Macaca fascicularis: one gene and its partner. The protein of the gene in region 2 interacts with the protein of the main gene of each other region in a biochemical or structural test. Links are inferred from orthologs where the notes say so. Each region holds a gene or a part of one and is shown on either strand. Other genes may lie near its edges.

Evidence for each region.
Region 1: the proteins of UBC (region 2) and PDE12 form a complex in vitro, tested with the Homo sapiens proteins (4 studies listed by BioGRID). The link is inferred for Macaca fascicularis from reciprocal best matches to the Homo sapiens genes UBC and PDE12.

The regions. Positions count from the first base shown.
Region 1 is NC_088376.1:120,636,475-120,640,645, reverse strand, and holds the end of PDE12 (2',5'-phosphodiesterase 12), read right to left. Parts: intron 3,353-4,171; coding exon 3,274-3,352; intron 3,100-3,273; coding exon 2,657-3,099; 3' UTR 613-2,656; downstream 1-612. UniProt on the Homo sapiens protein: Enzyme that cleaves 2',5'-phosphodiester bond linking adenosines of the 5'-triphosphorylated oligoadenylates, triphosphorylated oligoadenylates referred as 2-5A modulates the 2-5A system. Degrades triphosphorylated 2-5A to produce AMP and ATP.
Region 2 is NC_088385.1:132,077,541-132,081,754, forward strand, and holds UBC (polyubiquitin-C), read right to left. Parts: upstream 2,801-4,214; 5' UTR 2,737-2,800; intron 1,903-2,736; 5' UTR 1,900-1,902; coding exon 298-1,899; 3' UTR 230-297; downstream 1-229.

The sequences.
Region 1 (4,171 bases), on a different chromosome or scaffold from region 2:
CTATAGCAAGAACTTGTGACATTATAAAATGTGGTTTACCATAGAAAGTCACTAGATTTCCCATGTTTTCTTAAAATTAAATGTACTAAAAAATCCAAATGTAATAGAAAAATGCAATCACACAGGTGCTTTAAACATATTTCTGAATAACACTGCCTTCTAACTCGTGAGTACAAAGAAATGTGTATGCTATTTATACATTTTCTTAGTGTTCTCTACCTTTGGACTCCAATCATTTTAACCTATCTGTATATTGGAGATTTGATCAGAGTGTATGGCACTTCACAATAACATTCCATGTCCTAATAATCTGAAATGCCTGTATACAATCTGAGTATATTGTTTAGTCAGAAAATATCAAAATTAAGGATATAGGACATGGAATGTCTGTTAAGTGCTGAGTTTTCTGACTACAGTTTAGCCAGTGCTAATGTGGAACCTGTATGCTTTTTTCATGGGCATGTTTGAATTTTTTCTTTCAAAATGTATCTCAACTTTTTGATGTCACACTTTGTTTTCTCCCAAGTCACTCTAAGGGTTCTATCAACATCTTTGTTTGAAAGCAGACCAAAAATGTATTTTTAAAATGAAAAAAAAATTCACAAGAGAATCAAGTTTTGGTTTTAATCTATTATTTACATATTTGTAAACTGCTGTTAAAATGCTATCAAAAATGTTATTTAGGAAGGCACAATTTGGTAGCATCAATTTTTTATTTATAGTTTTTTCTAAACAAGATCCCAAGAAACTTCCACTTTAATTTTTCCCTTGGAGTACTTAAAGTACTTCAAGGTTCAATGTCAAGTGCAGATAAAACCCCGTCATTTTCAAACTTACTAAGAGTTAACAATACATTTGATAGTGAGCAGAATATGAAAGTACAGATATTACCAAAAGAGGAAAATTTTATGATACTGGGTTCAGAGATTAAAGAATTTGAAACAAGGGCTTTCATGACTGGGGAAAATCAAAGCTTTTCTTGAAGGGGTGGTCTTTTAATACTCGAGCTATTAATTAAATGCAGAAATGAGATAACATAGTTATCCTGAACATCAAAAAAGCAACAGCTAATACAGCTAATGCATTATAAATAATGTGTTTGATAATTGGATTAGTAAAGCCTGGTTACCACTCTAGGCTAGACACTAATCAGTATAACCATTTGTAGTTTCTAATTTTAAAAAGTTTGGCTTCATATTTAAATTTCCTTTTACTATATATATATTACATATATACACACTGTTGTCTGTAACTCAAACTATAATGCTTGTCTATAAAAAGAATAGGTTTTTTATTTCAGAGATGCTTAAAAGTCCCACTACTCACCCTTTTTCTTGTTTATAAAAACCAACAATTTTGAAATTACTTCTAGCGTAGAAATGCTCAATGATTCACCCAAAATTTCAAGCCCATATCATTAGGTAGTTTCTCATAAATGAATATATTGTGCTGTATTTTCTAATATCATATGGTCAAATACCCTGTTCATTTATGAATATTTTTCATGGGCAAGAGTAACTAAAGACAATAGGATCAAGTTGGATATGTTGCTACTGACTTTGAATACTAAATTGTGCTTGCATCCTAAAAATTAAAATGAGCTGCAGTAAGAATTAGAATATAAACTGTGTTCATTTGTTCCATACACTAAAAACTAAAATCCTAAAAATAAGAATGAAAATACCTTACTTGTTCATTGAGAAATGAAAGATGAGAAGCAATAACAATTGGTGACGATTTATTTTTATCTTTTGTTAAAGCTCTGAAATTGTAGTAAATCACTAACTAAATTGAGGTAGAGGTAGACCCTAATGTTACTCCTTCCATGTGTCAAGTCTCTCCACCTTAGGTCTCTAAGGTCACCTGTAACTTAAGTCTCTCACCCTTAACTTACATACATTTTCCCTCTTAGTACATAAGCATGATTCATTTTGGAATGTGTTGTCATGAAAGAAAAATTAAGATCATTCAAATGGTACTTTAAAAATTCTGAACTACTAGCTAAAAAAATTCTCTTATAAAAATATACACAAGGGCCAGGCTCGGTGGCTCACGCCTGTAATCCCAACACTTTGGGAGGCCGGGACGGGTGGATCACCTGAGGTCAGGAGTTCGAGACCAGCCTGGCCAACGTGGCGAAACCCCATCTCTACTAAAAATACAAAAATTAGCCAGATGTGTTGGCGCATGCCTGTAATCCCAGCTACTTGGGCGGCTGAGGCAGGAGAATCGCTTGAACCCAGGGGGCGGAGGTTGCAGTGAGCCGAGATCACGCCATTGCACTCCAATCTGGACAACAAGAGCAAAACTCTGTCTCAAAAAAAAAAAACAAAAAACAAAACCAAACAAAAAACCACGATAATTCAATCTTCTTTTTCTGAGAGTCTTAAATTGGAGAAAAATAATATAATTTTCTATCTTGCTAGTAATAAATATATTTGTTTCTCCTCCAAGTGTAGAGGAAAACGAGGAAAGAGAAGCTGTATGATGCAAACATTATCAACAGTTTCATTAATGAAGACATCGGGAACATAACTAGGAGGGTTGAACATTTTACCATTCCTCTTTGAAGGTTACATATAAGCTTTGATTCATATTAAATTTTCTGCTAAAATAACTACTTCCTTTTCAGACTTCAATTCCATTAAACACACATCTATTTCCATTTTAAATCACATACAAGTGCTATGTGATCAGAGGGATGGGAAACACTAGGTAAGGCCTGGTGGGTGGTAACTTCTTCATGACTAGGTAATGGAATCACCTGTTCAACCTCTAAAGCATTTAAGTCAATGAAAATGTAATCTAGACATCCATGAAAGCCACCAACATAATTTGTGTAAGCAGGTTCACCACAAGCACTTTTCAGCTTGAAGAAATGCGTAAGAGACATGTTGCATCTTTCCTCCTCCCCATTGGAAGCCCAGTCTTCATGATCCTCTGGAATGCTGCCATTGATGACAAAATGATACATTCCTGTTGATGGTGTACTATTAAAGTCCCCACAAAATATAACTGGTATGCCAGGATACAGATCACATGAAACATGTCTAATGTGAGCCAAGGCTACTGCCATTTGAATGAGGCGAATATACCCACCTATGAATATAAAAAACATTAATGTAAGTATTTTTTAAAGTTGTCTTTAAGTTAAAACGGAAAAACTACACAAATTACAATTTCTGGGTGACATTCAAGATATATATTTGTGTAAAACAGCTTTAAACAACCTTAAGCGCGTTTAAGTCACTTGTGATACCAAATAAAACCTACCTTTAGGATGCCAGTAAAGATGGGTATTAGCAACACATATCCTTTTAGAAGAGTCCTTTGTAGACTGAAGAACTGAAACCTAAAATAAACGGAAAGTGCCAAGAGTTCAGTTGGCATTTGCAAATCTCCTGAATGTTTTTGTTCGTTTGGTTGGTTTTTTTTTTTTTTTTTTTTGAGATGGAGTCTCACTCTGTCAACCAGGCTGGAGTGCAGTGGTGTGATCTCGGCTCACTGCAACCTTCGCCTTCCGGGTTCAAGCGATTCCCCTGCCTCAGCCTCCCGAGTAGCTGGGACTACAGGCGCCTGCCACCGCGCCTGGCTAATTGTTTTGTATTTTTAGTAGTGACGGGGTTTCACCGTGTTAGCCAGGATGATCTCGATCTCCTGACCTCGTGATCCGCCTGCCTTGGCCTCCCAAAGTGCTGGGATTACAGGCATAAGCCACCACGCCCCACCTGTTTTTATCTAAGACTATATGGCGAACTAACGTTTTCTTCCATCTCCTTCCCGTGATTAACTAGGACTGCAATCATGAAATCCGACTTGTTATTTAAGTTTCAGGATCTACATGACTAGGTTCAGTGTAACATGTTTTAATAATAGTCCAATATAGGCCGGGCGCGGTGGCTCACGCCTGTAATCCCAGCACTTTGGGAGGCTGAGGCGGGCGGATCACGAGGTCAGGAGATCGAGACCATCCTGGCTACCATGGTGAAACCCCAAACCCTGTCTCTATAAAAAAAATTAGCCGGGCGTGGTGGCAGTCCCCTGTAGTCCCAGCTACCCGGGAGGCTGAGGCAGGAGAATCGCTTGAACCCGGGAGGGAGAAGTTGCAGTGAGCCGAGATCGCGCCACCGTACTCCAGCCTAGGTGACAAAAACTCTGTCTCAAAATAGTA
Region 2 (4,214 bases):
ACACCTGCCTTTTTGTATTTGCAGTAGACATAGGGTTTCACCACATTGGCCAATCTGGTCTTGAAGCCGGCTTTTATTTGCACCCACCTTCTACAGTTCGTACTATATTAAGGTCAACCCCTTCACTGACATTTCACTGTTACCACAGCAACATTTGTAAACTGAAAACCTTGATCCCCTTCACCCAGTCTAATGCAAAATAACCTTAACTTTTAAAAAACCACACCAGTTGGGAATGCAACAACTTTATTGAAAGAAAAGTGCAATGAAATTTGTTGAAACCTTAAAAGGGGAAACTTAGACACCCCCCCTCAAGCGCAGGACCAAGTGCAGAGTGGACTCTTTCTGGATGTTGTAGTCAGACAGGGTGCGTCCATCTTCCAGCTGTTTCCCAGCAAAGATCAACCTCTGCTGGTCAGGAGGGATGCCTTCCTTGTCCTGGATCTTTGCCTTGACATTCTCAATGGTGTCGCTGGGCTCCACCTCAAGGGTGATGGTCTTGCCAGTGAGGGTCTTCACGAAGATCTGCATCCCACCTCTGAGGCGGAGCACCAGGTGCAGGGTGGACTCTTTCTGGATGTTGTAGTCAGACAGGGTGCGCCCATCTTCCAGCTGTTTCCCAGCAAAGATCAACCTCTGCTGGTCAGGAGGGATGCCTTCCTTGTCCTGGATCTTTGCCTTGACATTCTCAATGGTGTCGCTGGGCTCCACCTCAAGGGTGATGGTCTTGCCAGTGAGGGTCTTCACGAAGATCTGCATCCCACCTCTGAGGCGGAGCACCAGGTGCAGGGTGGACTCTTTCTGGATGTTGTAGTCAGACAGGGTGCGCCCATCTTCCAGCTGTTTCCCAGCAAAGATCAACCTCTGCTGGTCAGGAGGGATGCCTTCCTTATCCTGGATCTTTGCCTTGACATTCTCAATGGTGTCGCTGGGCTCCACCTCGAGGGTGATGGTCTTGCCAGTCAGGGTCTTCACGAATATCTGCATCCCACCTCTGAGACGGAGCACGAGGTGCAGGGTGGACTCTTTCTGGATGTTGTAGTCAGACAGGGTGCGCCCATCTTCCAGCTGCTTTCCAGCAAAGATCAACCTCTGCTGGTCAGGAGGGATGCCCTCCTTGTCCTGGATCTTTGCCTTGACATTTTCAATAGTGTCACTGGGCTCCACCTCAAGGGTGATGGTCTTGCCAGTCAGGGTCTTCACGAAGATCTGCATCCCACCTCTGAGACGGAGCACCAGGTGCAGGGTGGACTCTTTCTGGATGTTGTAGTCAGACAGGGTGCGCCCATCTTCCAGCTGTTTCCCAGCAAAGATCAACCTCTGCTGGTCAGGAGGGATGCCTTCCTTGTCCTGGATCTTTGCCTTGACATTCTCGATGGTGTCACTGGGCTCCACCTCGAGGGTGATGGTCTTGCCAGTGAGGGTCTTCACGAAGATCTGCATCCCACCTCTGAGGCGGAGCACCAGGTGCAGGGTAGACTCTTTCTGGATGTTGTAGTCAGACAGGGTGCGTCCATCTTCCAGCTGTTTCCCGGCAAAGATCAACCTCTGCTGGTCAGGAGGGATGCCTTCCTTGTCTTGGATCTTTGCTTTGACGTTCTCGATGGTGTCACTGGGCTCGACCTCGAGGGTGATGGTCTTGCCAGTCAGGGTCTTCACGAAGATCTGCATCCCACCTCTGAGGCGGAGCACGAGGTGCAGGGTGGACTCTTTCTGGATGTTGTAGTCAGACAGGGTGCGCCCATCTTCCAGCTGCTTTCCGGCAAAGATCAGCCTCTGCTGGTCGGGAGGAATGCCTTCCTTATCTTGGATCTTTGCCTTGACATTCTCAATGGTGTCACTGGGCTCAACCTCAAGGGTGATGGTCTTGCCAGTCAGGGTCTTCACGAAGATCTGCATTGTCTAACAAAAGAGCCAAAAACCACCAGCATTTAGCAGACAATGTACTAATCTTCCTAATACTTAAACTATATGTTATATTCACCCAAATGATTACAATTTAAAAGATACCTAAGAAACTTCACAAAATACACTCGCCAACCCCGAACGCATAGTTTAAAACTCAGACTTCAGCTACTTAAGAAAATAGGAACATAGAACTGACCAAAGAAACTGACGCCTCACTTATCCCTCCCCTCACCAGAGGTCAGGCCCCTGTCGACTCAGGAGGGCCTACCCTAGGCCCCAACCCTGCGTCCTGCGACGAAGAAAAGCCTACTGCACACCTACCGGCAGGTGGCCCCACCCCACATTATGAGCCAACAGAACGGATGACGTCACGACACTGCGAGGGCGCGCGCTCCTCAAGCTACGGGTGCACTGCCAAGTGGCACCGCCATTAACTGCCGCCCCCGCAACAGACGACAAAGCGAGTTCTCCGGTCAGTGACAGACTTCACATCAAGGTCCCCAAATGGTGCCCCAGCCCACCTCACCAGAATAAGAGCGTTCCCGCATTAGCGAAAACCTCAAGGCCTTGGGTTCTTGCCGCAAACCATGCCCCCCACCTTGTTTCAACAACCTCACAGCCCGCCTCACAACCGTCTTCCATTCAAGAGCCGGGAACAGCCGCCATTTTGCTGCGCTCCCCTCCCACCCGCTGCTCGGGGCACCTTGCTCGCGGACCCAGACTACAGCCCTCGGCGGCCTCTCATCCCGCGGCGTCGGCCCCCCTCCATCCCACCGAGCGGCCCAGCGGCCACGAAAGCCATGGCCGGCCCAGCAGCCCTCTGCTCACCAAGTGGCGATGACACCGACACACAAACAAGAACTGCGATCCCACTCCCGGCTGCGACGGAACTAGCTGCGCCACACCCGGCGCGTCCTTATATAGTCATCGGCGTTCACCGCCCCAAGGAAATTCCTCCGCAGAATCGCCGAGAAGGGACTACTTTTGCTCGCCCGTTCCGGTCTCTGGAAAGAAAACCAGTGCCCTACAGTCACCCAAGTCCCGTCCCAAAATGTCCTCCTGCTGAGACTGGGGTTCTGGGACTGAGTCTGGTGGGCAGCGGGCCGCCGTCCTGAGCGCCCAAGCGGAAGAATCAGGGCGCTCGCTGCGCCCTGCGGCCATGACGTGGAGGCGCTCGCCGAGAGGAGGGGGCGTCCGCGGGAGGCGCCAAAACCCGGTGCGGACTCTGCGGCGCCAGGAGCGGGTGGGCAGCCCGCGTTCCTCAGCCGCGGCCCCTCCCCTCAGCCCCCGCGGTCCCCTCGGGTCGCGAACCCCGCGTTCGGCGGACGTGGGGCGCGGACGGAGCGCCTCCCGCAGAGTCGGGGTCTCCCTCCCCTCCCTCGCGACCCGCCCTGGCCCACCCCGCGAGACGGACGGGTCTTTATTTTTGGGTCACATTTGAGATAATGACGGGGCTTTCTTTGCTCAGCCCCCCTCAGTCTTCCTGAGCTTCCCAGCCCGGTCGCGGGGGCTCCCCGGTGCCGCGCCCCTCCCCCGCTGCGGGCCGCGGGACAAGGACAATGACTCAGCAGATCTCAGGCCGGGCGCGGCCCTAAAGCTGGGGAACGCTCGAGAACTTTCGAGGGGAGACACTGCAGAGGAGCTGGTGTCCAGGTTAAATTTGGAAAAGTGAGGGGGAAACCCCACACAGTTTTTTTTTTTTAGCTGGAACCCAAGGCTGAGGGAACGACATCCTTCTAGACTGTTCTTTCACCTTCGTGTACATTCTGAGGGCCGGGTATGGAAAGGTCCTACTTGGTTTCAACAGGGAGGCCTAGAAATTTCTCTGGTTTCAATGGGTACGATTATTGTAATCAGGATCCATTCAATAATCGGACCCATTTAAACCGAAGGTTTTAAAAGACAGGAATAGAATCCCAGCCCTATTTCAGGGCAGGGTAGGGTGTCAAATATGAAATGTAATTCTACAGGGCAATTCTATTTTGATAAAAGAAGTGGGGAGAAAAGAATCACCAGCCAGGTTTTTAAATTTTTACCACAACCTATTTTGTGATCCTTATGTGTCATTTCTTCAGTATATTTTTAAAATGTTTTAACAAATACGAACATGGTGAGATTTTTTAAATGTGTCTTTTTAAAGTGTACAGTGAAAAGTCTCCCTCATGCCTTCAATTTCCCAGTCACTGTCCCTTCTGGAGTCTTCTAGAAATAGTCCCTGTTTCTACAAATGTATTGGAGGTAGGGAGACTATTTTGATTTCTACCCTTGAAAGCTTCAAAAAGAGAGAAAAAGAGGCTAGCAACTGA